Lonchura striata: one gene and its partners. The protein of the gene in region 1 interacts with the protein of each later gene in a pairwise test. Links are inferred from orthologs where the notes say so. Each region holds a gene or a part of one and is shown on either strand. Other genes may lie near its edges. The genes, in order: RALGDS, RAP1B, RRAS2 and RAP1A.

Region 1 (7,323 bases):
ATGTGGGACAGGGAAGGTGCCCCTGTCCATGGCAGGGTTTGAACGAGACAATCTTTAAGGTCCTTTTCAACCCAAACCTGTTGGAATCTAAAAAACCCAACCTCCCCAAAAAAAATCTATGATTCTGCTACGGCCAAGGGGGTGGTGTAAGGAGTAGGATGGAGGAGAAATATCCCTGCAAGCTCTGGAGTCTCCAAGGCTTGTGGAATAATTGCTGAGCTTCAGGACCGGCAGCCTCGGCAGGAGCTGCCGTAGCCCAGCTGTGCACAGGGGCTGCAGGAAATGAAACACAGAATAGCTGGATGGAGACTTTTAGATCCTGATTGCCTGGGGATTTGCTGTGCTTCCTCTGCTAGGAGCTGACAGTAATTAGGGGCTTGCCTGGCTGTGTTAATGCTTGCCAGCACAGCGTTCACAGTGCCTGATCTGTCAAAAACAGCCCCGAAAAACGCCCAAAACCTGGAGGCAGAGTGACCCAACTGCCCTGGGTCTGAAATACTCAGCAGAGAATCTCCTAAAATCCGTGCCTGCTGTAAGCTGTGGCAAGTGGTGGGTGGCTCTCATCTAAAATCTGGTTAAATCAGGGCATTGGTCATGCTGGGAGTGAGAAGTGGGTCTGTGAGGGTCTGAGATCTGTTGGTCCCCAAATCTGGGGGAACCCAGTCTCACATCTCTTACAGATTGTATGGACAGAGCAGTGACAAAATTTTCCCTTCTTGCACAAGCTTTCCCCCTCATCCTGAAGTGGAAGAGACAGTACCGGTTGTTTACTGTTGGATTATTATTATTACTATTATTATTATTATATTTCTTATAAAACAACCTTCCAGCTGAGTCTGAGCAGTGAAAACAAAAGTATTTTCCAATTAAAATTGGAATGCCCAAAAGATTTTGATCTAGCATGTAATACCTAACCTCCAGCTAGTAATTCTTGTAACTAGGTATCACTTTTCCTGCAAAATGTCTTGAAAACAGCAAGAAAAGGGCTTCTCCAGCTGCACAATAGAAGGAAGTGCTAAGGGCTCCATGTCAGAGCCCGACACAGACTCGCCTTGTGAGCTGGTGCCAGAGCTGGGACAGAGGCTGGACAACATTGCAACTCCCACATAAAGCAGCCCAGTTCCCCTCAGAGGCTGCAGATTTGGGTCCTGGCTCTCTTGCTGGTCCAACAGTGAAAGCTGGAGGTGTGTGATGTTCCAGAGGGGCTCAGTTAGAGGTGGTGAGGGTGATTCCTGCCTCCTCTGCTCAGGGCTGAGATCAGCTCTTTGCAGCTCCTGGCGTCGGTCCTGCTGTGGTTTCACTGAGGCTCAAAGGGAACAGGGGTTTGTTGGGGTGCTGGCAGTGCCCTGGGGGTGCTGGCAGTGCCCTGGGGGTGCTGGCAGCACCCTTGGTGTGCTGGCAGTGCCCTGAGGATGGTGGCAGTGCCCTGGGGATGGTGGCAGTGCCCTGGGGGTGGTGGCAGTGCCCTGAGGATGGTGGCAGTGCCCTGAGGATGGTGGCAGGAGCACTGGGTTGTTTGCAGGCAGCTGATGCCAGGCAGGAGCAACTCCTGTGGAAGTGTTTGTGAGCCATGCTTTGGGGTGGGCAGCCTCACTTGATGGCAAAATAAACCAAACTCCACAGCAACACTGAGCACAGGAACTGGGTCGCTGTGAGTTTTGCCCTGTTGGAAAGATGCTGGAAAGCCCCACTCAGCAGCAGAGCAGGGAGATGAAAGCAAAGGAGGGCTGGAGGATGCAGCTGAGGGAATGTTCAGACACCCTGTGCTGAGGAGAGACAACTCGGGGTCCAGGCTGAGCCCAGTTATTAACTGAGTCTGAATCTGCAAGTCCTGACTATAACAGATTGATTCCCAAACCAGAAAACTGGCTTAAAGTTTCCAAAAGTTTATCTGTATTACCCTCTCCACGTTATTGACCCTGCAGGAAAGGCTGGAGACTGCAGCAGAGGAGCAGAGCTGCTCCAGTGTTGGCTGTGTGGGTTTTTATTTATCCAGCCAAGAGCTGATTTCAGAGCGGTGGGAAGACAAAAATCGGTGGATTTCCCACAGCACCCAATTCCTGGGCCTGCCAGAGTCGATGGGACATTTAGAGATGACAAGGAAAACTCAGTGCGTTGTGAAAAGTTTCTTGCTGAGTCTGCCAAGTGCAAATTCGCAGTATATTTTTTTAATGAGTCACTCAAGCATTGATCGTTTTCTTAAATCCCCGAAGTCACGTGCATGTCAATTAATCACATCTTGCAACAATTTCTTGACCTTCAAGGGTGCTGGAGGGAAAGCTGAGGCTGTGATGCTGCCTGTTCCCTTCCACCTGTGTGCTTAAAGGCAAACAAGAAGCCCTGAAAAGTTATTTGCTTTGAATCTCATGATTTTCAAGAGCCTTGCCCCTGACAGCCGAGTGTTTGGGGTTAGCTGGGCAGAGCAAACATCCTGAACTTGGGCTCCTGACCCCGCTTTGAGTGTTTTGCTTTTCAGACCCAGAAGGTTCCCCAGAGAGGAGAAAGGAAACTGACTGGCTATTTTTAAACCCCCGCAGTTGCCTTCCTGCCTTATATTATTTATTATCCATTATCAGAAGTGTTTTTCCCCTGAAACCATCTTTAGTGGTCAACCGGGGGACGCAGAAAATTGCCCATCAAACAGAGCTGCTTCTTTCTGCAGAGGTCAGACGCAGCTGGAGGCTCTGGGAGGGCTCTGCCAGCTGCAAATGAGTGCTGCTGTTGTTTGCTGTGTGCACTCCCGCCGTGCCAAGCGAGTCCAGGCCTGGGCTGTGATTACTCTGCCCTAAGACTCAAACATGAAGCAAAGCAGTCTCCCTCTCAAATATTTCACAGCCCAGAGAGGCAGCAGTGCTTTCTGCTGGAAAACCAGGTCCCTAACTCTGCTTTTAGCGTGTCCCGAGCAGAGGGATGCACAGCACCGAGTTTCACAGCACATCTTGCAGTGCCACATGGTTCCTGTGTGATGTGGCAGTGGGGCTGGGGACACCTCTGCAGGGAGTGTGTATTGCCCCCCAGAGATGTGGGGCAGTGCAAGGCCCTGCTGCTGGGCTGGGTCCCCTTTCCCAGGATGTCCAGGAAGTTTCCTTTGACCTCTTTGGCTCCAGATAAAGCAGGACAATAACCCACGTTGTCCTGGCTCATCCTTCTGCCTGGTAAACTTTCCAGTTGGAAGCTATCACAGCCTGGCAGCTTTGTTAATCCCTTCCTGCCCGGGCAGGAGCTGCTGGTGCCCTGGGCAGAGCTGGACATGTGAGCCTTGGCTCCATCCTCGCTGGAAATCAAGCTGCAGGGCTGGAAGGCCCTGGGAGGCCGATGTTATTTCAGCTGCAGAGGGAGCTGAGGCATGAAAGTCCGGGTTTTGGTGGTGTCAGCAGCAACTGGCCGGGCCCTGTGATGCAGTTTCTGAGCAGTGTGCGAGGAGGGAAGGGGAAGAGCAGGGGAGGGTTGGAGCACGCAGTGCTCGGCGCAGGGGGCTGATGGATGACAAACACTTCAGCCCGTTTCTCTCTGCCTCTGAAAACAAAATGATGTTGCAGGGGTCCTCTAAAGTGGGATCTGCAGCCCTGCTGTCCCCCAGGCTCGTTTTGCTTTCCCAGAGTCCCTGCTGGGCTGAGAGCAGGCGCTCTAATCCCTAATCCCCCCTTCGCCTGTGCATGGGGGGCCTGGCGGTGACTCACATCACTTCATCCCGCAGGGCTGTGACCGTGTCACCGAGCCCAGCCGTGGCCAGCGAGGGGCTGAGGCTGCTGCTGGGGGGCTGAGATAACGCTCAGATGAAAACACGTGCTGACGGCATCCACTCGCCCGCAGTTAACACTTTTTCTTTGCCTAGTGGTGCGCGAACCCCAGGTGCTTCAGCAGCACCTGGTGACACAAAGATCCTCTCCCAAAGCCGTCGTCACCTGTGTGACTTTCCCATCGGCGGCGTTTCCCCCGCCCAGCTGGGACTGGAGCTCTGACCACCCCCGCAGCCCCCCGAGCATCCTCCCCGCTTTGTGCGGCCTCGGGGCTTTTCTCGCCTCCCGTGTCCCCGTCCCCCCTCCCCGAGGGGGCCGAGCCGCGCCGGGCCGGCCCCCGGGGGCGGGCGGAGGCTTCGGGAGGAAATCCAGCGCCTGCTCCGCAGCCGAGCCGGCTCCGTCCCGGCCCCGCCGTGACATCGGGCCGCTGCTCGGGCGCGGGGGCGGCCGCGGGCTCCCGGTGCGTGCCGCTCCCGCTGCGCTGCGCTGCCCCCCGAGCATCGCCCCCACGTCCCCGCTGCGGCTCCCCGGGCAGCCGGGGGGGCTGGCGGGGCCGGCGGCGGGTTGCGGGGCCGGGGATGCGGCGGCCCCGCCGATGGTGAGCCGCCGCCGCGCCCCGCCGCGCCATGGCCCCGCCGGCCCCGAGAGGATGTTCGAGGGCTGCCGGCGGGCGCGGAGCCTCTGGGGCGGTGTCAGGCTGGAGGTGGCCGGCGAGAGCAGCCCCGTGGTGCTGCACAGCTTCACGCAGCTCGACCCCGACCTGCCGCCGCTGGAGGTGAGTGCGGGGATTTGGGGGGTTTGGGGTGCTGAGCGGCCCGGCCCCGCTGCGCGCCCCTCGGGGGGTTGGGGGGCTCCGCCTCGCTGGCAGCGCGGGTAGGGCTGGCCCGGAGTTTGTGGGCATCCGCGGAGTGTTTCGCAGAATTGCGTTACATAGAATCACGGAGCGGTTTGGGTTCGAAGGGACCGTAAAAATCATCTTTCCCCACCCTGCCGTGGGTAGGGATGCCTTCCACTACCCCACGTTGCTCCAAGCACCGTCCAGCCTGGCCTGGAACGCTTCCAGGGATGGGGCAGCCGCAGCTTCTCTGGGCGCCTCACCAGCCTCACAGAGATTTTCTTCCTAATATCTAATCTAAATCTCCCCTCCTTCACCTTAAATCCTACCACTGCATGCCCTTGCAAAAGTCTCACCAGCCTTCTTGCAGGCCCCTCTAGGTGCTTTAGGTGCTTCATTTTGTTGAACAAATGGGTGCCCCTGCTTGGCTTTTTTTGCTGTGAGTCCCTGTGCCCCTGGGGACTGGCAGGCAGCTGCCAGGCTCGGCAGGGAGAAACCAGATGCTCTCCCTCCAGGCACCCAGGGAAAGGGGCTGATTGTTAAAACTTCGGGCTTTTAATATTTCATTTGAGACTTTGGCTGCGGGAGGCAGGAGTCTGCTCTGATCTGAGCTGTTCGTAAGGGCTTCAGGCTTGTCCAAACCACAAAAGTGTCCTCTGGGAAGGTTACGGGCATTGGGAGGACTTTCCTGGAGGATGCAAAAATATTTGTGCTTGTTTGGGTTCAACCTCGGGTGCTTCAAAGTCAGGCTGGTCGCAGCGAGGCCCGAGTGCTTTGTTGATGGCAGTTGCATGTGGAGGCACCCGAAATAATCTGAGTCAGAGCTGGGCCTTTTATCTTAGTAATGGATGATCGTCATCGGTGCGGTGGGAGTGTCGCTGATCGGGAGCAAACGGTGTGTCAGGAGGGGCTCAGCGGGAGGAAGGTTTTGCCGCTCAGAAGTCGCAGCCCTGGCGGTGCAGGGGTTAATACCAGCGAGGGTCAGCAAGCCTGGCTTTGCTGGGATTTGGAGCCAGCTGCAGATGTGCTGCTCTGGATGCTTCCCGCTGGAATGGGGGCGGTGGAGGGGGGGAATGGCCACTAAATCCTCTCTCGTTGCCGTGCAGATATCCGCCGAGGGCAGCCAGCCTTTCGGGGAGGGCAATGGCTCCTTCTCCCAAATAATCAACCCCACAACCTGCCATGGAAAATCCTGGTCAGGAAGGGATGAGCTCAGGCTCCGGCTGTTCCGCTTCACCTCTGGCCTGGTGGCAGAGCTCATCAGCTCTGTGAGAGTTCATGAAAGCTCCATCCAGCTTGTTTTCCCCCCCTCTCCTCTCCCCGCCCGTCTCTCCTCTCCTGGGGGTGGGCGTACTGACATCTTTGGAGTGCATCATCTGGTTCGTGTTATGCCTGGCAGGAAGTCCAGCCTCGGCCCGCGGCGCTCCGGGAGGCTGAGGGGCCGCGCTTTTGGCTGGGAGAGCAGGAGCAGGAGGGGGAAAAGAGGGAAAAAAGGGGGTCATGCAGCGTGCTGCCCCCCTCATCCCATGGGACAATGTGCCCTGCCTGGAGGAGGCTCTGGAGCTCAGGAGAGGCTTTGGAGCATCTTGGGCGATGCTGTGCTGAGAGAGGTTCATGTTTTGTGCATGGCCCCCACTGGCTCTGAGCAAAGCCCAGCTCACCTGAGCATGGCACGGGCACAGCTGCCAGGCAGAGCTGCTCCCGAGCTCTCTGTGCACGGGCACAGCTGCCAGGCAGAGCTGCTCCCGAGCTCTCTGTGCCCACGTTTCTGTGGGTTTGTGCTGGTGAATGGTCAGATCCGCTCGCTCAAGCGTTCCTCCCGGTCCTGAACAGAAATTCCTTCTTTTTTCCCTATTTCCAAGTGATGCTGAGAAAAGGGGCAGCCCAGAGGGGTGCACTGTGTGACCCACAGCCTCCTGAGCAGCCTTGGTGCTCATTGCATGAGCGGGGAGAGGAAAAAATGTGTCACTGTTGTGACAACTGTGGTGGCCTGGTGGGGTTGCAATCCTCAGGCAGAGCTGCGGATGCACACTGAGAGGAGAAAGCAGATTATTTGAATAAGATCCCCCGGGGACCATCAGTGTTTTGCTGAGCCCCAGTGACAGTCCCCAGGACACGGTGGGACCTTTGTCACCTCAGCCAAAGGGAGCTGTGCTGGATTTTGGCAGAGCTCGTGGGTGGATAGTCTGGTCCCACAGGGAATGGAGGATCCCTGGAAAGCTGCTGGGCAGGCTGCAGGGAACGTGGCTCTCTCTGGTCCTCATGGCTCTCTCTGGTCCTCACTGAGACCCCAGGGGATGGCAGCAGGGAAGACTTTGCCTGTATCCCACAGCAACGGTATCGATCAGCAGGCATCACTGTGAGCCAAGTGCTCTCACCAGGATTTTAACCACGGGGGATGGAAAATTTAAACCAACTGTGTCTCAACTGGGGGATTGATAGAGCAGCTTTGCAGACCTTTTGTTTTGACCTTTTCAGTTCCAATCCACTCCATATTCAGCACTGAGTGTCAATCCTTCCAGTCCAGCAGGAGCCACAGGGTGAATTTGGTGGCCCTCCTGGTCCTGCTGGCCAGGAATGGCCCAAAACACCACTGCAGATGACACAGACTGAAACTTTCATGCAGCTGATGTTGCTGAACCTCTGAGGAGGCTGGGCTGACTCATAAAAAAAAAAGCCCTTATAAAAAAAGTCCTTGTAGTTCTGGCTGTGTTTGTTTTCTGAACAATTAGGAGATTTTCAGTTGCT
Region 2 (7,479 bases), on another chromosome or scaffold:
AGTTTGTCTTGAAATAAGAAGGTGTAGTTACTGTAGATACTCCTTTCATCTCTCTGAACAAGGAGGCTGTCTAAAATATCCCTCTACCTGACCTAGATGCAACAGAACACAGCAGAAGCCTGCCCCAACTCAGCAGGGATTCGGCACACTGACACCACACAGTGCACTTCGGTCTGCTTTTGGATTAGTTCTGAGGTAAAGGAGTGGCAGCATTCACAACCACAAGCTAAACACAGACTTGTGTCATACAGCTTGTGCTGAGTGATCTGTTTTACTAAGGGAGCAAATTTGATTAAAACTCCCAACTGGAGCCTAACCTGACGAACACTCTCAAATGTCAGCTAGGTATCTGAAAGTCATCTAAGCATTACTTAGGCCAATTCACAAAGGATCCGCCTACCCTCTCAGCATACATCCAAGGACAAGAGTGCCTGTTTTTATCGGTAAGATATTCTTATCCTTAAGAGCACCTCTCTGTACCTAACCCTGAGCAGCCAGCAGAGCTCTGTGGATGACAGGATTGGCACAGTAGCAGTAAGCGTCAAGTACTCAAGTACTTCTGTGACTCTTGCACTTCCCACATCCCAGATGATAGGTGGACAACTGTTTATTTTAGTTCCTTGTCACATTTACTAACTGCGAGATCACAAGCTACAGTGTAGCCTTCAGCACACTTCCTTCCTCAGCCATAGAAGCAATTTCTTTCTCCTTTTGTAGGACCTCACCTAGATTCCCATCTGTTTGCCTCTGCTCCAGAAAGGCTCTCAATTAAAAAGACAGTCAGTTTTACTCTGCAAAAACTGGCACAGCACAAAAAGAACTGTCATGGCTCATTTCAGATTTATTTTTGATGAACTGTCCTACAGGAGAGCTTTGGAACAAAATAGCACAATTTTAATTCCACTCAGAAAACTTATCTGGTGCACATATATTGTAATAGAAGCACAGGTACAGACAGTAAAAAGTCTATTGCCCACCCCCACCCCCCCATTTAAAAGTTCTGGTTTTACTTTTTTTTTGGTCTTTCAACTCTGTTTAACAGATTATTTCACTCCTAGGCAGAGAGGTGCTCCAAGTATGATCATCCTTGCTGCAAAAAAGATACATGGCATGGCACTTATATTGCACAGTGTAATTCCAAACTCAGTTACTTGGGTACAGATAGCAATATGGTTTTACACTACAGCTCTAAGTTAAACCTGAAGTAGCTCATAACGCTACAAGAAACAGAGGTACCAAAGGAATAAAACATCACATCTAATTAGTTAATTTTTGCAAAGCTTTTAATGTGAATAGTATAAATATCCCTCACTATTCACAAAGTCTACAGGATAGATTTTGAGCAAAAGTAAAAAAAGATGCAATGAATAATAGAAATGAAAATATTAAACTCTACCAAGTCTCGTTTGGTTTCTTCCCCTCCCAAAAGCTTGTGATTTTAATATAGAGGCAAATCATCCAAAAAGTAGTAAGTTAAAGTTTCAAGTTTTTCACAGAGATAAGAGACTCTTTCCAAAGCGAAATACACTTGTTTTTGAATGGTTATTCTTAAAGGCAATGTGATTGCTTCACTGCCTTTTAATTATAATTCATGGAAAGGAAGAGTGTTTCTTGTCTCCCTTTCTTATAAGAGTAATTTCAACATATACTTCATTGTGAAAAAGTACTGAAAAGTCTTTGTCATACACTGTCTACACATCTCATCCTGGGGTAAGATGTAGCTGTTATGTGCGGAAAATTACAATTACACTAATCAAAACGTCTAAATGCAAGAACACGTATGAAACCTGTATGATTTTCAACCTGGGCATACCTGACATACCCTCTCTTTGAAGTGTACTTCCTTACTATCATATCCCAAAGCAGTACAGAGAAAGACCTTCCTTTTTTTGTGTCGTTTACCCTGAGCAGCATAATCCATGCCTTCAAGATGGAAACAGGAGTAAAAGCGTGGTATTCTTTTCTGCAAAAACCTTGGTTTCTCATGCTCTTTTGTAATCTAGGGCCAATGCGAGAACATTCAGATTTGGTTTTATTCTCTCCTCTGCAAACTTTGTTTTCCTTCCACCACCTCTTCACCAACGCACACAGAAGGGTACGACGACCTCAGGCTCATTAGACGGGTTTGGCGCAGGAAGTGTCAGTCAAATTCTTCCATTTGCTTTGACACGGGTGATGGTGGGGTGTTTAGACGAGGCGAACATCCCTGTCATTTCCTTTTCATTTTGTGATAAGCAGGAAGGGAACTTGCAGGCCCCCGCGCTGTTTGCTTGTCCCACTCCGTGGCCCCCCCAGGCACAAGCCGCGCCCGGCCTGCCCCCCCGCCTCGCCCCCACACACCGGCCGGAAAGAGCGAGCGGCTTCTCTCCCGCGGCCGGACTAGGTGGGGCTCGCCTCGGACTTCCCGCTGACAACGCCGGCGGCCGCCGGGCTCCGTCCCCTTCCCCGCCCGCGGCGGGGCCGAGCCGGGCGTCACCCGCCCCTCCCCGCGGCCGTCCGGGCCCCACGTCGCGGCCCCGACCCGCGGGGTTACAACTTTCCGCTTCCGCTCCAACTTCTGCTCCGGGGACCGGCGGGCGGGGGGGATGCGGCGGACGGCAGGGCCGGGCCCTGGGCCCGGCCGCGACGGCTGCCCCTCAGCGCCCCGCTCCCCCCACCCCCTCGGGGTCCCACCACGCCTGAGGCCGGACGAGGCGGCGGCTCCCGGTTCCACTTCCGCCACGTTCCGGGCTGCTGCCCCTTCCCTCAGAGCGCGCCGCTCCCCGCCGTCGCCGCCGCCACCCCCCTCTCGCCGCCGCCGCCCCCACCCCACCCCGCCCCGCCACCTGTACCAGAGACGCCGCGCCGCTCCCCGCCACAGCGGCGCGGCCCGGCCCGCGCTGCCCGCCGCAACCCACCGGACAGCGCCTCCGCTCCCCGCCGGCCGATCCCGCTGCGCTGCGCCCGCCGCGCTCCGCTCGGCTCCGCTCGGCTCCGCTCCGCTCGCCGCCTGTGCCGGGGCGCGGCTCGGGGCCGTCGCCGTGACGCCGCACGCCCAGCCTCGCTCTGGCGCGGCGGGGGCGGAGGGAGGGGCGGGCGGGGGGAGGGCTGACCCGCGCGCCGCCCCCTGCGCACGCGCGCGGCCGCCCCGCCCCACCCCGGGGCCGGGGTCCGCCGAGGGGAGCGGCGGCCCGGGGCCGGCTGCCCGTGCGCGCCGGGCGGGAGAGCGTGCGCCGAAAGCGCTTCGTGGTTGCGTAAAGTTAATTAAGAACGTAAAGAGCTGGAAAAGTAAATGCCACTGCACTATTGCCTGCATTTCTAAAGAGGTGTTGAGACCCGCTGGTGAAGGGCTTTTCAGAGATGCCGCATACTGCTGGTTTGATGTGGACCAGTATGCCTCTGGATATGAACAGCCTTTCATTAGTCTTGCCTATACAAAGCAGGATTCCCAGTGCCTGCAAATAATCAGGGTATTAGCTTTTCTGTTATTTTAGTCCTAAATACATAAATCACGTTTCCCGCCCCCCCCCCGCCCCCCCCGCCGTCACCCATATTTTCCAGTTACAAAATATTTAGCTGATAAAGATTTAAAAAAATAAATGAGCGTTTATGTTTCTAGGAAACACTTAGTAAGCAAAGAGTTAACGTGGTGCTTTCAGACAAAACTTGTGCTCTGAGGAAGTCCACGTTACTTCCACACTTGCACAAGAGTGCATAAAACTGACAGGAAGTTGCAGTGAGGCTTCTGGCAAGGAGAGTGGGTGTGGAGGAAGCAGTGGCTTTCTGTCTATAGGACAGAGATAGAAAATGAGACCGTATGAGTTCAAGAGAATCTGTGGGAGATGCTAAAGCTCAGAGCAGGGTCAAAGGATGACCAGGGAAATGAACTGCCCTTGGTAGGGAAGACTTCATCAAGATACAGGGCATCCAGAAAGCAATGCACTTTAAAAAATATTTTTTCTTTTACGGTGTTGCTCCCAAATCCTGAATGTCATAAAATCTCTTCCAAAGTCCAGACAAATCTCTTGGTGTTTTACAGCTTAAACCCGTGTGCAGTCCTTTGATAATGAATCCCCGTAAATGAGGATAATGCAAGGCAGCTCTGCTTGTGAGAAGTCCATAGAAACCAGTCCTTTCTTGGCAAGGCATCCTGTGCAGGACAAAAATCATTAATGAGATGAATAGGTGAAATACAGCCTTTCAAATGAAAATCAGAAGAGCATTTCATGCAATTATTAGCTGTGTAGCATATTAGCTCACCAGACAGAAAAATACTTGTATTCTTACTTTGTCCTGTCACTAGATAACTGTTATCAGCACCCAGAAATATTTAGAGGAAAAGAATAAAATAAATATCCTCAACCCTCAGAACTTTCTTCAGTGAACTAGGTTAATCACAAATAACTTGCAGTGTTCCAGGAACAGATACATGTCATTAATGTGATAGAATTTTACAGTGTGCCTTTAATTGTTCTGTGTTTTATAGGCTCTGGGGCAAAAACTCCTCTTTGCTATACAATAAGAAAAGAGGAAGGTGGCCTTTTGGAGTCTTGACTAAATCTCTGTGAGCAGATCGTGGTGTTCTGAGTTTCATATAGGAGTATCTGAAACCTAGTATTTTACAAGAAGTGTATATATACATATATAAATATATGGTTTGCTTAATTTAGACATGTTTGGAAATCGATCTCTGTAACCAGAAAAAATAGTCAATTAGGATTCATTCTAAGCAAGAGACCAAGTGTTCCCTCTCCCCAACTCTCTCCGCCACATAGTTTTAATATAAATTGGGCCTTTAATTTTGGATTTTCCTATGAATCATCTAGCTAATCCTCAGCTCAATTCTTAAACCGGCTTTACTGATATCAGTGTGACTGGCAAAGAGCAATTGGTGTGCTAACAAGGCATACTCACCCAGTACTTCACAGGGGCTTGTTCTGCTCAGCTTGCTCAGAGTTTCTACCTGCCTGATCGCTGACGGTCACTCAGGCTGCTAACAAGTGCTGAGGTTTCCCTATGACAGAGCAACACCCCAGAGAGCTAGGAGTATGGGAGAAATGAGGCGGATACGGCTGCAGCACTGTTGTGTTGAATAGGAACAACACAGATACATCAGCTTGCTTTAGTGGGGCTGCCCATGCCCAGCATTGATCTGGAATTTTTAAAAGAAGAAGGTCAAATACTCAATTGCCTGTTTACTGAGACCTGCTTATGCACATGAATCTTAATATCAAATAGACCTTCCTAAAGCACTGTAACACTTGTCCTTTGTGCTGTAACCTCTGTCTCCCAATTTACCAGTTGCCTGCATGTACTTCAAAACCCTTTTATTTCAATGACCAGTGCTTAGCTGTAGGTATTTCAGTCTGCTCATTACTAACACAATGAGCTACCTGATAATGTCATGGCTCTTGTGACCCCCTCATGAAGAAGATCTTCCTCATGGAAAATGAGGAGGAAAATACTGACTAATCTTGTTAAAAAGTTCAGTGGAATTAGTGGGGGAATAAGGTGGGGGTTGACAGATTATTTGCAGAAAACAAAGTAATAGTTTTTAAATTATTCTTTAATAAAAGCTTGTCAGGGTAGCCTTTGGTCACCTCTGTGTAATTTTCCTGACTTTACCTGCTTTGTTTTCATTGGGATTGCATGGGTGTTGGAGTGAAGAATGTAGCAGTATGTGTATTGCAGTTTCATTACTGCTGAAACACAGCCATCTCTGGGACAGAATGCAGAGCTGGCTTCTGCCAGCAAACTAAAGTTAAAAGGGTATGTAGTGCCAGGGAATACAGTGCTGGCTGCATGCCAACTATCTGTGAGCTTTTCTAGAAATTTGCCACGATGGAAAAAGAAACGCTGTTTGGCAAATCCTAATAGGATGCTTTACTTTCAGAGGGGAAGCAAATTCCTCATCTTTTAAGGGGAATGGACTGAAGGGGATCAATTCTTAGCTTTACAACTCGGCTGTTCCAGCAAAGAATGGTTACTAGATTAGAATGTGTTTTGGATCATGAGAGCAATAAAGAGAAAACTTCTTTAACACTAAAGAAAAATAACGTATTCTTGTGACATAGATATGTGAAATGTTTTTTCATTCTGTATCCTTCAAAATTAATTTTATTTGTTATTTCTCCATACTCAGAAGATTTAGTCACACAGAGTGGGAATACCTGTCTGTCTGGATAGAACCTTGAGATGTTTCAGGGATGTGTCTTCCCCTCCAGACTCTTTCACCTGATAATTATTAGTTCTACTTGTTCATCATCTTCCCTTCAGACATAGCATCCATTATGCAGTTCTGCTTCTTAATGTCTCTTCATTGCATCTTCTTGATATATTGCTGTTTGTTAATCAAAGGTGTTTAAATATTGGTTTAATCACAAGCTTGACTGAAACTTAATATGAAGACTTTTTTCTCAATTTTTTTTTCACTTTCCATGCATTTACCTCATTGTTGAGGAAAATTCTGTCACTTCGCTCCTCTTTCTCCTTCAAACCATCTTGAGTTAATGCTTTTTCTTATCTCTGAGTGATGCTCCATGACTCTTCAATTTAACTGCCAAAATCTCTTACTGAACTAGCCCTTTTCCTTATCCTTGGCCAAAATCCTATTATTTGTTCACACAATATTGTCCTCCCTTTATCTTGTGATTTGTCTCCTTCCGTACCCTCAAAGTGATAACTGCTTTGAGATGCAAAATTTGCTATTGTTTTATTAAGCTGGTGTAGAACAGGCAATGGACACTACTGCAATTTAAACTGTAAATGTCAGCATTTATTTACAGGTATCTAATTTTTTAATCTATTTTCTTCTGTCTTTGGGAGACTGCTTTTATATCACTGCAGTTACTCCAGATAAAGCAAGGAATAGCTGTTTCACAACATAGGTGCTGTGAAAGCAAAGTACTCTGAATTGCAGAAGAATTCAAGAAAATGTCCCAAGCTTTGGACTTTAAACTCTTAAAAATTAGGATTCGTTTAGTAAAAGGAAAAGCCTACTTTATTTTATCCTCTGTGGAAAATCCTTTTTCAAATTGCTTTGGACAACTAGCTCATCAGATAAGGAACAAGATTGTCACAGCAACATAAGTGCTTTAAAAGTTTAAATTAAGAATAATGTATCTACTTGAAAATAGAGAATGAATATAATTACCTGGAGGAAAATCTGTCTAGGATATGGGTGATTATTTCTCTCAAAAAAAAAGCTGAAAGTCACACACAAATTTTCACAGTTTCAAAGCTTCAGAAGTTTCACTTCCCTGCTTTTCCAAGAGAACATTTCTAGCAGTGCATGATGCAGAAAGGTGGTTACTACTTTCTGAATCACCAGCTGCTGTGATACCTGGATAGTTCTTCAAAGTCTTCCATAAAAGGGCTGGATGCAATGGCATTGTGATGACTGATCACAATGTGTCAGTATAAAGCTGTAAACCAACAGTTTCCTCATTTATAATTCCGCACTATTCCCAAGAATGTCCTTCTCCACCCCATTACATGATA
Region 3 (7,070 bases), on another chromosome or scaffold:
TGCTTCCTCATGATATCCTATCACCACAAAAGTCTGATTTACTGGAAAACAATCAGCACCAAAGTAAAAGCTGTATTTGAATACTGATTTACTGAAAATTAAAAAGGAAAGCAATACCAAATGTAGAAATATCTGCTAGTATCAGTAAGAGGAAAAAAGCTTTCCTTTTTAAGCTTCAGTTGGTGACAGCCTTATTTTAAACACAAGCACTAAAGAAGCAAAAAAATTTAAATCCTCCACTGACATCAGAATCTGTCATGTAGCAAAAGCTAGTACTGATCCATGTTTTAGTGAAGGCCACTACACGTTTGTCACTTAATCCTAAGAAATTCCAAAAATGAAGCACGTGACTTGCTTGTAATCAATTTTAAAACAACTTGGAGCAGTTTCTGTGCAGCCTTAAAAGACAAACAACGTATTTGGCAATACACTAGCTGTACAGAAACTACCCAGGTGCCTGCATGGCAAAGCACACACTTGATAACATCACAGCTTTAAGAGCTCAGGAAGACGCTGTGGGATATAAATAGTATACCAAACCTCATCTCTTATTGTCCACAACCACACAGCAAGCACGGAAACAACACAAAACTCTTCTCTAAGGTACCTGAAGTACTGCCCTGGTCTTTATTTCCCAGCTATTTTTATTCAATTTTGTTTTGGGCTGTTTGGGGAATTTTTAAGCTGAATTTTCTGCTAAACTTCACTTTGCAGTGGCAAGATTTTATCTCAGGATAAAGCTGCCGAGAGGGCAAAAAGATGGAGATAACTTAATGCAAACTGACAATAAGTTGTTTTGAAGAATTCACCCTCAATGTGTCAGCTTAACACCACAGTGCTGTTCCCTCAACACTCTTTCAAAGTGAACTATTTATTTTTCTGCTGTTAATTTGAAAAGATCCTTATATGTGACAAAACAGACACGGGTTCCTCTTTTGCAGATATTTGCTGAAAGGCAAGTGTCAGTCACAGCACTTGGCCCAAAATTTATATTTATATTTAATGTAAGCTCAAACTATTAGGTTGAAGAATTACTTTCTACAAGTACTCAAATATTGAAGCTTTTCAGTACTCAGCAGAACCCCATACTGCTCTTAAAAAAATGGCTATACAAAGACATCAAGTGTGAGCTTCCCTTTTTTTCCCCCTCTTACATCTTTAGTAGAAATTACAGCTGCAAAGGTAAAGTTATCCCAAAGCCCTCAATGCTGCCTCAATCCAGAAATCCCTTCAGCAACATTTCCCAAAACAGCAACATCAGAGAACTGAAGCCACATCCAGATGCACACATGACTGCCACAGCGAGACACAGGCAACACCACCTACAGCAGCAGCGCCATGCTTGAGTGAATGGCACCCTAAACCAGCTGCAGAAAACTCCGGGTTTCATAATCTCCATACGCAAGCAATGAGGAATTCAATCCACACACTGAGAGGACTGCACTTATTCCAGCCCCATCACCTTCAAACAGACCAACCAGCCAGTATTCTACCAAAAACTGACCAGCCACCTACACATCTGACAAAAGACACCTGTGCAATACACCTCAAAAGGCACCAGTCAAACTAAACTAGTTCCAAAGAACTGATTCTCCCAAAGGGTCCTCTCTTTTAATGTTCTCTACAACATTGGATCTTATAAGCATATTAGTATCCAGTACCTACCCAAAAAATTCAAAGTAATGTCTTCTATGTAGTTAGTCTATGCTGCAGAGCTTAAATTTTTAACAGAGTAGTTGAGCTAATGAACACATGGATGCACATGTGAATGAAAAAACCGACTGAAATAAAGAAATAGTCTATTTGCTATCAGATCACCCAACACCTATTTTGTTGTAACAAAATATTAGTGGAGAACATCATTGCCCCAAGCATTAAAAGACAAATCTGCCCCGCTGTCAAGCAGCCCATCTTAGGAGTAGGTAGAGCATTACCGGCTGTCCACAGTGGAATAAAAGAAAACAAACAAGAAGCCATGCTCTCCAGATTTGCTGCTCTGCCGTCAGCAAGAGCATCAAGCAGAACGCAAGTAGTTGTCTCCTCCTACCACCATAAACAGAGGTAGAAAAGCTAACAGCAACAGGGCAGAGGATGAAAATAAGTAAAGGAGGTACGGCTGAATTCGTGGCGAAACAGTAAAACGGGCTCTTCCTCGTAACACTGACACGCACTCTTACTATCGCCTTTTCTGGAGTGTTTTTTACTAAATACGAATAGACGAAAAAGTTCAATTGTCTGCAAGTTGCAGGATGAACAGCAGGCGCTCCGAGGGGCGGTGGGCGCTGGCCGGTCCCAGCTCGCACAGCGTGCACCAAGCACTCCTCCTCTCGGGGGGAGCCGCGGGAGCTCCCCGGCCCCTTGCCGGGCCACCACAAGATGCTCAGCCCGGGGCAGCTATTTCGGAGCCGGACGCCGGGTGTCACCGCTCCCCGGCCGCGCCCGCCGCACCGGAGCCGCCGGTCCCGAGCGCCGCGGCGCCCGGAGCGCAGCGCGCCCGGCCGGCGAACCCCACCCGGCGGCGGCGCCCGGCGGGCCGGGGGCGGCGGCCTCTTCCCGCCCTCCGGAACCTTCCCGGGGGCTCGCACCGGCCCCGCCGCCGCCGCCCCGAGCCCCTCAAGGTCACGCCGCCGCCTCCCCGCCCCGCGCTTCCCGCTGCCCCGCCGGCAGCATCCCACGGCGCCGCCGGGAGCTGCCGCCCGCCGCGCCGGCTCCAGCCCCGGCCCCCCCGCGCCGGGCAGCGCCCAGGCCCCGGCGGGCGGAGCGCTCCCCGCCGGGCGCCGCGGCCCCTCACCTGGATGAACTGGATGGTGAGCGCCGACTTGCCCACGCCGCCGCCGCCCACCACCACCAGCCGGTACTTCTCCTGCCCCGGGCCGTCCCTGCAGCCCGCGGCCATGGGGGAGCCGAGCGGGGCGATCGCGGCAGCGCCGCCGCGGGGTCCGACGCCCGCCTCTCTCAATGGCGCTCTCCTCGTCGTGCCGCCGGGGCTGAGCAGCCGCAGGCCCCGCCGCGCCGAGCGCCGCCGGCAGCGGCAGCGGCAGCGCCCGGGCCGCCGTGCGAGCGGCAGCGCCGAGCGGAGCGGAGCGGAGCGCGCAGCACCGCCCGCCCCCGCAGCCAGGGCGCCGCGGCACTAATGGCCGCCGGGGGCGGGGCCCGCGCGCCGCCATGCTAATGAGGGGCGGGGCACTCTTATCTGCATGCTAATTAGGGTGGGTATGCGGGGGCGGGGCCAGCGGGGAGCCGCCGTACGAACGCGCTGAGGGGGCGTGGCCCGCGCAGCGCCATGCTAATGAGCTCTTGCATATGCATGATGCCCGCCCGCGGCACCGGCGCGCCGCCGTTTGTGGCGTGCGGGTGGCGGCGGCCCTCGGTGTCCCCCGGTGTCCCCCGGCAGACAGAGAGCCGCGGAGCTCATTAGCGGTGTCCCCACGGGCTCCGGCGGGGCGCCCGTCTGAGTGCCTCATCAACATTCATGAGGCTCTGGATGCTCACGGGATGGGGAGGGAGGTGTTGGTGACCCTTCGCAGAGCCAAGGCGCGGAGAGGTTTAAAGCCAAAGCGTCGCTAATGTCGCTTCCCACCAAGAGGGAAAAATGGGAAAAAGGTATAGTGACTAAAGCCCTTCGCCACTCTTCATCATGTTTCCTTGCGAGCATGCACGTGAATAGGTTTCTCACTCATTTAAGCCATTCAGATCAAGTCCACCCTCTCCTCTGAGCGTCACCCACCGCTGGATGTCACAGCCCCATATTCAGCCCCCTCTGCACTTGGTTAGAGCACTCCGCTTTCAGTGCGTGGTGAATTCACCCTTTGCATCTCCACCGCTTCTGCAGGGGACAGGCTGCTGTGATCTTCCAGTAGTGTCCTTCCCCTTTGGGTAATACCTTACTGCCCAGGGTGTTTCCGCACACCCAACACTCGGCAGATGGTCATAATACAACGAAGCAGAAGTTCTGCTTTTCAGGGATTTTTCAGGGAATTCCTTCTTCGCTTCCTCTCTCCTTTTTGTGAAGATATAAAGCAACGACCCCACGTATGTCTAATCTTACACACCTGTACATCCGTTTGCCAGCACAGAATGACAGAGCTGTTATCATGTTGCTGAACGGCATAATCACATCAGCGAGGCTCCTCCTCCCTACAAACAAAACTCCTGAATTCCACTATTACCCAATTTGTCATGCTGAGCTTTGCAATTCATTAACTGAATTTCTCTGCTTAAAACCCCAAAACTTTGAAACCAAGAACAACATCCTTCAACGCCCATTCTGTCTCAGGGGAGAAGTGTCCGACACACAGGAAACAAACTGCTACTTTGTGAGTTAATGGTGTAAGTGTATGAGAAGGAGATACTTTGTCCCCAGGACTCACAACAGTATTTTGGAAGAGGAATGCCACAGCTCAGGCTCAGTTGCCTCGGTATTCTCCTGTAGTGATAAGCTGCTTTTTCACATCCGTTTCCTTATTGCACATGCCGATCAAAAATAAGGAACAACTCACACAGGAAAGCATACGTAGCCTAACATTTTCCAGTTTGGAAAAAAGATAAGTGAGAGGGAGATAAAGCAGAGGTCTGTAAATTCCTAAGCAGCGTAGGGAAGTTGAACAGAGAAAGCCTCAAAATAGGAGAACTGAGGGACACCCAGTGATAGTGGGAAGAAACAAGTTTAAACAAACAAAAAAGGATAAAAAAGGATACTGTTTTTCCACAGACACAATCAATGGCACTGTGGAAATCTCTGCCGCAAGGGGCTGTGGAAAATGAAACTGCATGGTAGTGACAAAAGGTTAGACAAAGTCGCAGAGCAGAAAGCAGCATAAAGCATAAAGCAGCTACTAAGCACAGCGATCAGGGACACAGTTTTGACTCGGGAAGCCCCTAAAGCACTGGCAGCCCGGAGGCATGTTTGCTGAACAAAGAACCCACTTTCTTCCCACGTGTCCTGGTCCTGGTGTTCTTTCACCTACAAATCAATCACTGGCCACTGTGAGTATTAATCCAGCAGGACAAGTCCCTAATTCTTAATTACATTCTCTAGCCTAAGAAAAAATCAAAAGTACAGATTGTGAGGAAGTGAAACTGCAGCTAATTTATCAAGTAGTGGGTGTTTTTAATCAAAATACAGCTACAATCTCACAGTTGGCCATTAGTACAGTGACCACTGAACTCTACTGCCAGGAATGGTAGTGACACGAAAAGCAGATTTTTAGCGAGTTTTAAAGACACAAAAATCTCTATGCAAACTATTGAAATAGGATATCTCAGTCTTGGTTCAAAGTTATATGGGAAGCCAAACATTTTTATTATCCCTTATTTTTTAGACTTCAGTTTCATCATTCATAAATTAAAACAAATTTAGTATTCTGAAAACAGTATCAGTATTGTCACTGATATAGCTATCCAATCTTATGAATTCTGCAAGAAAATCTTGCTGTTCTTTAAATGACACTGGTAGATATGACAATGGGTTAAAGTAATACAATCATCTATTATGATCAAGAGAGTCTATTGCAAAAAAATACTGTTAAAATCTTTGCATTTGTGAATTTTGAAATCTAGTTTTATAAATAGAGTTATATTCTTTCAAAGCACAAAGCAGTGCTCACAGGAAAACAGGAGATGGATTGCAATTAATGAATAGTGATGGGCTTTGTAGTTTTGTAACTGCACCCAAAGATGTCAATAAGAGTTGTTTGCTCTTTGCTGTATAAACACAAGTAGAGGGAGAGAATATCAAGTATAGAGACAGTCTAAAACCAGGGCAGCCAGGGCAGGTCCAGCCCTGGAAGTGCCAGTCCCTACACCTTGTCTTCCCTCAGGAACAGCCCTTGCTGTGAGCCCTGGTTTCAGAATACAAGGAGTATACATGTGAATAAAGATATGGAGATGAGGGAGCTACACACTCCAGGATTCATTTCAAGATCCACTAACCTGGGAAAGGCTTGACTGGTGACGCACTTTACCCAGCAGGTGAAGACAAGAAACTTGGGACTGATAGGAGGCAGCAGGGCAAGATGATGCAAAAAGGATTTGGAGTGCTCCATGCAGCCAGGAAAATAAATTTTGCAGCACCAGTTTTCATATCCCTGGGGAGGTAGCAAATGTGGGATTTCATAACAGAGAGGAAGAACTCGAAAACCAAGAGCTGAGATGGTGGAGCCATGACCAAAGTTTTGATGAAGCAGCTGGGAAAGAAAGTACAGCTTTTAGAAGCATTGCATAGAAAGAAGCTGCGTCATTTCAGGTCTAGTCTGAATATGCATATTTAAAAAGAGACAAAATCAGAATGACATCCAGATGGCAGGCTTAAAAGAAAGATCACCATAATGCTTTATGTAATGACAGGGAAAAAAAATACTTCAGGAAGTGCTTGAGGGAAAGATCCAGAACTTTGTTTTACATTGGCAGCCTTGCAGAGAAGTGGGTTTGGAAGGTTAGGAGACGTGTATGCAGTAAGTGACATATTGAAAGCTAAAAAGCGCTCCGTGAGAACCTAAAAGCTTAATTAGAAAAAACTTCTTCTCAGGCTTAGCACAGAAAAAAGTTACAAAAATCTTTGGGACATGAGTCAAAGTGGCAGGTAACTCTAACTCTGAGTTATACCACTGATTTAGGATTATATATGTTCTTATCCCTTGTTTACTGACCTTGCTCAAACAGGACATAAGCATCACCTCTCCTGTGGATAGTTTCACCTAAAGGACATCCATGTGCTGCAATTCCCATCAAAGACTCCACTCTTGACCATAAGAATATTTGACGAAACTGGATTTCTCAAAGCCATAAAACAAAAAGCTTGGAGAAAAAAAGACATTAAAAAATTTGGTTTTCCTTGGAATAGGAAAGTAAGACCTAATTCAGAAGAAAAGAACTGATAATTTTTCTTGTCTATACAAAAAACATAAGCTATTTAATGAGCAATGAATGCCCAGAAACAGGAAGAAAAATAAGCTGTTTCTCCTCAGACACACTTATTAGTTTCTATCTGAGTAAAAAGTAAAACTATTTTCAGCCAAGTAACTACAGCTTTTTATAAATCTTCATCTATTTTTACATCTACCTATTCCAGT
Region 4 (7,808 bases), on another chromosome or scaffold:
GCATCCACAGCCAGAGCCAGCTAAGCTGATTTTGGCAAGGTTGAAAGTAACACTGGATCAAGGATAATCCTGAACTTCAAACAGCTACACATAAAAAACACTTCAAATATAAAGCCTAAAGGTTTGAACTTATGTATGTTCAAAAGATACACTTTGTTTTCTCTAGGAAAGCAGATAACAGGTTCCTGTTGTCAGAGCATTAGGATTCCTCTTGAAGATGATTTTTTTAAGTCTGCAAAGCTGCACAGAAGCAATCTGTTCTCTAAACACTGAGCACGAGTTCAAAGTGCCACCGAGTGCGCTGTGCACGTGCAGGGTACGAGAAAAAGCACTGCAATATAAAGTACAAACAAGTGCTTGCTGTTGTTTATGCCCAGCACGATGATTCAATATACAATTACAACTTTAATGTTCAAGCACATCCACATGTTGCCCTCCTGCCATTTAATTACTTTTCAGTTTTTTTAAGAACAGTCCTCAGACTGGCCGAGCAGCCACGAAATGTATCACTAATAACCTATGTCCGTGTATTTGCAGCTCATGGCTTCACATATAAACTGTTCTGATGCCCTGTGTAAACACCAGTCTCCAAATAAAAGCATTAACCTGTGCTGGACTTGGGCAGTGCGAGTTAATTCAGCCCGTTTGGCAGGAGATCCTCTCAGAACCTTCAGCAAAGCTACTTACCCTAAAAACAGCCACGCCAGAGCCAGGACACGTGATGGCAGGCAGCGCTGGGCTCCGGGGAGCCCCAGGGTGACAGCCTGGGGTGACAGCTCCGGCCTGGCGGGCACTGGGGTGACAGCCCGGGGTGACAGCCCAGGTGGGACAGCCCGGCTGGGACAGCTCCGGGGTGACAGCCCAGGTGGGACAGCTCTGGCCTGGGACAGCTCCATCCCAGGCTGGCCCTAAGGCTCCCCAGCCCCGCAGCTCCCGGGCAGCCCCATCCCGTGCAGGAGCTGCCCTGAGCGGGGCAGCTCTGCTCCTGCGAGGCACGCCAACGCTGTGCATAAAAACAGATTATTTTTAGAAGCGGTGCGAGCGCAGCACTTCCTGCCGGCTCCACCTTGAAGAACGACAGACGCTCTGTCACCCTCCGTTCCAAACCCAGGATTTCACAACTTCTGCTACCTGCCACAACACAGAGAGGCAAGGGACAATCTGCCGAGAGCGGCAAGCGACAATTTCCCAGTTTGTGACTTGGCACTAAGCGCTTCTGTTGGAATATGTTGCCAGTCTTCACTCGCGTCAATAAATCGATGCCTTTTTTCCTGCCGCAGGGATGAACAGAACATTAAATGTTTTTATTTATGACACTGATTTTTTCCATAGCAACCGGATGTGAACATGGCATTCCCAGCGCAATGAAGTCACTATAGCAACGTGATAATGATGTCAGAATAATCAGACAGCATTTCATACTTGTGAAATATATCGCTTCTGTGAATTCAGAAAGTTGCGGAGACCACAAAAGCTCCATCTGGAACTTCCCTTTAACTTGCCTGGTTTTGGATAACTTCTCATTAAAGGCACAGAGCTTTGCTAATGCACCATTCTCTGTTTCTACAAGCTTCATCCATTACTTCCTGAGAGTCTCACAAATTCCCGCATTAAAACCCTTTCAGATCCGAGGATCCGCTACACCAGGGAGAATTACTGACACACCATTTCAGCATGAAAAAGGCAATGACACAAATCACAACAGTGAAACATTTCACAGCAGACAGGCACTGTCAACTGAACAGACGCTTTCCTCAAGTCTTCAAATAATCTGGTGTCTCTTTGCGTGGAGCAACACAACTACTCAGAGAGAATTACAACAGCAGCAGAAATTACAGAGTGCCGGTACAATACTCCGAAGGCAGACAGGCGTTTTCAAGTCAAACACTATTTTAAGATATATTATCTCCCCTGTTAAGCTACTGAAAGGAAAAAACGCAGTTTTCATCGTTTGCCCTTCCTGTTTGCAGCTCTTTCCAAGCTGTGCGCAAAGCAAGACCCAATTCCAGCTCTGTGTCAGGGGGAACTGGCTCACTGCATCCAAACCCCAACCTTCCCACCGAGGAGACTTCGCAGGAATCCCTGCACCAAACCCACATGCCCTGTACCTCAAATATCGCAAGCAAAGGCACCAATTAACGAGAAGTATCTAAACACCAAAGCTTCCCTACACAGAGCACAGTTTCTCTTTAAAGCGACTGAAGGAAGTGCAAGAACCCTTTTCAGAGCTGAGGTGGTCTGACACAACCAGTCCTTGGGAGTGGAGGATGAGGATGGGCTGGGAGGGTGAGGATGGGGATGGACAGGAGGGTGAGGATGGGGATGGACAGGAGGGTGAGGATGGGGATGGACAGGAGGGTGAGGATGGGGAGGATGAGGATGGGCCAGCCCGCTGCTCCACGTGGCTCACGGGGGGCTGCCCCTTGGCTTGTCCCAGCTGCCCAAACCTCCTGCCGCCCATCAGGCCGGTTCGTACAGGCTGTGCCCCGTCCTGCCGTGCCTGTGCCAGCCCACCCTCCGTGCCTCCGGCCTCGCTGTCCCTTCACTCCGGCGCTCCTCGGCCCCGCACGATCCCCGCGCCCCTTCCCAGCGCGGGGAGCAGCGGGGCACCGCACACACCTGACCCCGCCGCCACCGCGGCAATTGCGCTGATCCCGAGCCCGGCGGCACCGCGGGCAGCGCGCAGCCCGCCCGGGGCCGCACGCGATGGATGCGGGACGGACCGGCGGGGCCGGCCGGACGGACGGGGCCAAGCCGCCTCCCCGCGCTGCCGGCCGGGCCGCGGGAGGGAGCGGCCGGCGCGGCCCCGCCGCCGCCCGGCCCCGCCGGACCCCGCGCCGGCCGCTGCCCCGCTCCGCCCGCGCGGCCTCCAGGGCCCGCCGGGACGGCCGCGGCCGCCGCTCCGCCCGCCGCCGCCCGGCCCGGCCCGCCGCCGCCCCCGCTCACCGCCGCCCCCGGGCCGCCTCCCGCCGCCGCTCCGCCGCCGCTGCGGGCCGGGCTCGGGGCTCGGGCCGGGCCGGGCCGCTGCCGCTGCCGCTGCTGCTCTGCGCGGCGGCGGCGCCGCGTCCGCTCCGCCCTCCGCGGCCGCGGCCCGGGGAGGAGCCAGCGGGGCGGGCGGGGACGGCCGGAGTTCCGGGAGGGCCGGGGCAGGTGCGGGGCTCGGGCCGGGCCGGGGGTGCGCGGCCGGCGGGGCCGGTTCCGTCCCGGTTCTGTCCGGGTTCCGTCCCGGCTCTGTCCCGGGGGTGCGCGGCCGGCGGAGCCGGTTCCGTCCCGGTTCTGTCCCGGCTCCGTCCCGGTTCCGTCCCGGCTCCGTCCCGGTTCCGTCCGGGTTCCGTCCCGGCTCCGTCCCGGCTCCGTCCCGGTTCTGTCCCGGCTCCGTTCCGGCTCCGTCCCGGTTCCGTCCCGGTTCTGTCCCGGTTCTGTCCCGGCTCCGTTCCGGCTCCGTCCCGGTTCTGTCCCGGCTCCGTCCGGGTTCCATCCCGGCTCCGTCCCGGCTCCGTCCGGGTTCCATCCCGGCTCCGTCCCGGCTCCGTCCCGGTTCTGTCCCGGTTCCGTCCCGGTTCCGACCCGGGAGAGCACTTCAAAGTGTTTTGTTTATTTTTGTAGAAAACTATGAAAAGAAAGAGCTGTAACACGGAAGTGCACATGTAATTGACACGAAACAGATAAAACTGGGGAAGAGGGAACGGCACATACAGGTCCTGATGGTGTTTTTGTCACCGAGGTTTGTAGGTGACGGCAGCCGGACAGAGAGGATCAGGTCAGAAGTCCTGCACAGTCGCTGATCTGGGAGATGGCCTCATTAGCCCCAACTTCAACTATAATTCAGCTCCAAACTGCACACTCCAGAAAACCTAATGTCAACAGTCAATAAAGTTCAGGGGCTTTTTTTCTTGTTAAGAATGCATAAATACCCCAGAGGAGCTGTAGTAGCTTCCGTGGTTGCGATGCCCGCTCTCCACGAGGTGCAGAGGGATCTCTCGAGCTCCAAGCACTGTCACCTCCTCACGTAACCGGGGACAGGAGGAGCACTGCGGCTGTCCCTGGGGATGCTCCTGCAGAGGACGGTGCCAGCAGCAGCAGCAGCACACCCACGGGCCTCCCCACACTCCCCACCGCCGCTTGCAAAACTTCAGGGACACGAGCAGATTCCCTGAGGTCACACGCTACAGCAACAATATTTTAGCAGTCATGCTGCCTCTCATCCAGAACTCCAACAAAAATGCTAAATATTACTTGTGTGGCTGTACAGATGAGAAAACAAAGATTAAATGACTTATCCAAAATGCCCAGCAAGTGAGCAGCCAGGAGGCACACAGAGCTCAGCGTCCCCACTCACCCTCTGTAACTGAAAGTGCTCCAGTTCTCCTCTCACAGCTCTGTGCGTGCAGCAGAAATAAATACACAGCGCACAATTTTGCTTCCAGGTACAATTTGTGGCTGCTGATACCCATCTGTAAATCCCTGTTTTTATGGCTTAAGAGGTGTCTCCTTCCCTGGGGACCACCGTGCTGGGAGCCAGGTGAATCACGGCTGCATTGGAGTCGCTGGAGGCAGGGCGATGTCAGCAAAAGATTTCCACACTTTGCAGGATTTGGCAGCCTCAGCCCTGAGAGGCTCAGGCACAGTGGGACAGTCGGGGTGGCAAAAGCATCTGCCTTGAAGGATGCTCAGCACTCGTGGTTGAGCACCTCGTTTCTTCAGAGTACAAATGTTATCGTGAAATCTATGAACTTAGGAAGTTACTAGGTCAATGTTTAAAAACATTGCCTGTGTCTGGAAAACAGGCAGGGACAAAATCAGCAGTAACTTCTGTTTTAAAAGCTGTGTAAAAACACATTCCTATGGGCAGAAACGGCAAGGGATGCAATTCCTTTAAAAGACTCAGTGTACATTTGAGCATTCTGAAGGCTTCACCCCAAATTTCCTTTGAAATTAAAGCTTTAACAAGCTTTGCCCCAGATATCAAGACATTTGCAGCTCTTCCCACTGAACACCAACTGAAGAGTTTTATTGTATCTAAGAATCACACACTTATCTATTTCATGGCTTGTGGACCATCTTCCAAGTTTCAAAACAATAAGGGTCCAGGCACAGTGAGGGCCTGACTCAGCAAGACAGAGCTCCTTTTTGATGTGTGTTCTGGGAAGGTTGACTTCTTCCCCCGTTTTCTGCAGGTTTCAGTGGAGGCTGATAACATTTATTGCTGAGTCAGGCTTTGCAAGTACATGAAATTAGATCTGGATGAGTGTGAACCTGGCTATGAAATGATTAGAAGAGGAGAAGCAGGGCCAAGTTCAGTGAACTCAGAGGCACTTTTCCTAGTGACTCGTGCAGGGCAAACATCTGGATCCGTTTCTCCCAGTCCTGCCCTCGCTCGGGCAGATGCAGCCCCTGAGCCAGAGCTCTCCCTCCTGCCTGCTGCTCCGTAGCTCTCGCCCAGCAGTGGGCTGTGGTCAGCAAATCCCCTCTGGCAGCAGGCAGTGACATCCACGCCTGTGTCTCCTGGGTGCTTTCCCTACTTCTGGCAAGTCCATGACTGCAGGGACACCTGCCTGGAGGGCTGGAACCTGCACCAGCCCCAGCTCCACTGCACACCAGCTCAGCAGCAGCACAGGAGGTGAGCACAGAGAATCGATTCCCTGCACCCTGTCACATACAGGACACAGCCTGTAATGTCCTGGACGCAGCCCAAGAAATCCAGTGACCCGTCCCTGTGCAGTTTTATTGCAAAAGGTGTCATTTCTCACAGCCCATCTGTTTGTACAAAGCAGGAGTTGCCACAATAGCTTCTTTCCTGAACTCTAAATCCATTCATATTAAATTACACCAAGATTTCACTCCCCTTTTCCTGCTGTATGGCAGTGGTAAAAGACTGAAAGGAAAACACTTGTTTATCCCAGAACCTGCAACAGGATTGCAACTTTTCACCTGCTTTTGCAGCTGAGTTGCCGAGGTTGCACTGAGTCTTCTGCAGGCAAATTAATATGAAGCAGAATCCTTCGGGACTTCTTTTATTCCAAAACAATAATTGCCCAATTGGATAAATTATCACAAGTTCAGCTGATGTAAATATGTAGCTAAGGCCCATTTGCTGATTTAATGAAATTCAGAAACAATTTGTGATTGCATAATGACCTTGGATTCCTGGCTGATAGAATCAGAGGGCTGGAAGTAAATGAAAGTGGGTTTGACACCATGCAGGCTAATTACACGTTATCCTGTGCCCTGGCTGTCAGAAGTGAAGGTGCTGACTGCATCCTGCTCCTGTCTGAACTTAAGCTGCACAAGGAAGGAGCTGGTGCTCTCTAAACTTACAATAATCACTCTTTAAACTCTAGTCAGGGAAGAATCAAGAGAAAAACGCTCATTCCAAAGACCTCAACACAAGCCTTTGAAGTGCAAGCATAATATTTTCTTTCCAGATGAGATTGCAGTGTATAATTATGAATAATGACTAATGATGTAATTAGCAGTGAGCAGGCACATGGCTGCCAGCAGCTGCCCTGGCTGAGGGTCACCGAGCTCACAGCTCACCTCCCACGCTGTCCTTGCCGAGCAGAAGGGATCATTTAACTCAGCCCAGCTTCCCCAGCTCTGCAGGGCAGGAGAGCTCCGAGCCTGAGCTGTTCCCAGAGCAGACAGGACCAGATTCCCTGGAAGCCCCATCCCTGATCCCTGCTCCCACTGCAGGCTGGCTTTGTTCCAAGCCCACTGGCTGGCTGGGAAGCTACCAGGCAATTAGGCAGATTAGAGGGGAGCTGTGGGGTCTGGGAGGGGTGGCTGGTCCCAAGGCAGGGCTCTGCAGAGCTCCAGCAGGCTTCCAAAGGGAAAGCCTGCACTGGCTTTGCTCCTGGGCAGCAGTGCTGGGGCCATGCTCCTCCCCAGCCCATCCAGTGTCCCTAAATCCCTTGAAATCCCAGGCAAGGCTGGATCCCAGTGCAAACTCAGGTATTTTCCAGGTTTGAGCCCTAAGGATGTGAGCACCGGGACTGCAGAAAGGGTGAGGAGGCAGGAACAAGACCTCCCCTACCAAAACCACCAGCAAGCCTGGGCTTTCCTCCTTTGTGGCTCCGAAAGGGACATGGGATGCAGGGAGGCTTCTTTTGCAGCTTCCCAAACATTTCCCTTCCTTGTGAGCATGCCAGAAGGGCCTGGAGTCTGTCTGGTGTCTGCAGCTCTGCAGAGTCAGGAGAAAGGCAGAGGCTGATCGGGGTTTCTGGTTCAAGGGCTCTATAAATACCATCAGAGGCTGTGAAACTCACTGGGGAAGGAAGCACAAATCCCACTTCCCCTGCTCAGCTACGGCAGGGAGCTGCCAATTGCCATGGACAGGGATTCCCATGGTTCAGGGTGACAGCAGCACAACGGGCTGCTCGCTCTCTGCTTTCTGCAAGCAGGAATTTCCCTGTCCAAAGCTCTAGCAGCCTGGATTTCCTCCCAGAGGAGCCTGTGAAGGAAAGGACCCTCAGAGAGCTGAACCTGAGCAGAGCCAGCAGCCTGGGCACCTCTCCTGGCTTAGCTCCCAGGCGCTCCCAGGCACCTGCACAGAGCCCCCAGAGCACAGCCCAGGGCCTGGTTCTGCCCCCACTAACCCCATCCACAGCTGGCAGCACGGCTGGGGCAGAGCTGCTGCATTTGCACAAGAAAAACCCAAACCAGAGGAGCCTGGAACTCCCCAAGCCCTGCGGGGACAGGCCCAGCCTCAAGCAGGAGAAACTGGGACAGAGAGCTCAACGTGAGCAGCAACAAGTGTTATTCTTCCAGCTGACAAACTGTGCTCACTGCTCAGAGGCAGCTGCAAGCAC

Evidence for each region.
Region 2: the proteins of RALGDS (region 1) and RAP1B interact in binary tests that used the Homo sapiens proteins (3 or more experiments, as listed by UniProt). The link is inferred for Lonchura striata from reciprocal best matches to the Homo sapiens genes RALGDS and RAP1B.
Region 3: the proteins of RALGDS (region 1) and RRAS2 interact in a two-hybrid assay, tested with the Homo sapiens proteins (2 studies listed by BioGRID and IntAct). The link is inferred for Lonchura striata from reciprocal best matches to the Homo sapiens genes RALGDS and RRAS2.
Region 4: the proteins of RALGDS (region 1) and RAP1A interact in a two-hybrid assay, tested with the Homo sapiens proteins (3 studies listed by BioGRID and IntAct). The link is inferred for Lonchura striata from reciprocal best matches to the Homo sapiens genes RALGDS and RAP1A.

The regions. Positions count from the first base shown.
Region 1 is NC_134624.1:7,653,417-7,660,739, reverse strand, and holds the start of RALGDS (ral guanine nucleotide dissociation stimulator), read left to right. Parts: upstream 1-4,311; 5' UTR 4,312-4,335; coding exon 4,336-4,515; intron 4,516-7,323. UniProt on the Homo sapiens protein: Functions as a guanine nucleotide exchange factor (GEF) activating either RalA or RalB GTPases and plays an important role in intracellular transport. Interacts and acts as an effector molecule for R-Ras, H-Ras, K-Ras, and Rap.
Region 2 is NC_134607.1:44,334,337-44,341,815, reverse strand, and holds the start of RAP1B (ras-related protein Rap-1b), read right to left. Parts: upstream 3,010-7,479; 5' UTR 2,898-3,009; intron 1-2,897. UniProt on the Homo sapiens protein: GTP-binding protein that possesses intrinsic GTPase activity. Contributes to the polarizing activity of KRIT1 and CDH5 in the establishment and maintenance of correct endothelial cell polarity and vascular lumen.
Region 3 is NC_134608.1:50,467,103-50,474,172, reverse strand, and holds the start of RRAS2 (ras-related protein R-Ras2), read right to left. Parts: upstream 3,019-7,070; 5' UTR 2,897-3,018; coding exon 2,792-2,896; intron 1-2,791. UniProt on the Homo sapiens protein: GTP-binding protein with GTPase activity, involved in the regulation of MAPK signaling pathway and thereby controlling multiple cellular processes. Regulates craniofacial development.
Region 4 is NC_134632.1:5,464,879-5,472,686, reverse strand, and holds the start of RAP1A (ras-related protein Rap-1A), read right to left. Parts: upstream 3,011-7,808; 5' UTR 2,947-3,010; intron 1-2,946. UniProt on the Homo sapiens protein: Counteracts the mitogenic function of Ras, at least partly because it can interact with Ras GAPs and RAF in a competitive manner. Together with ITGB1BP1, regulates KRIT1 localization to microtubules and membranes.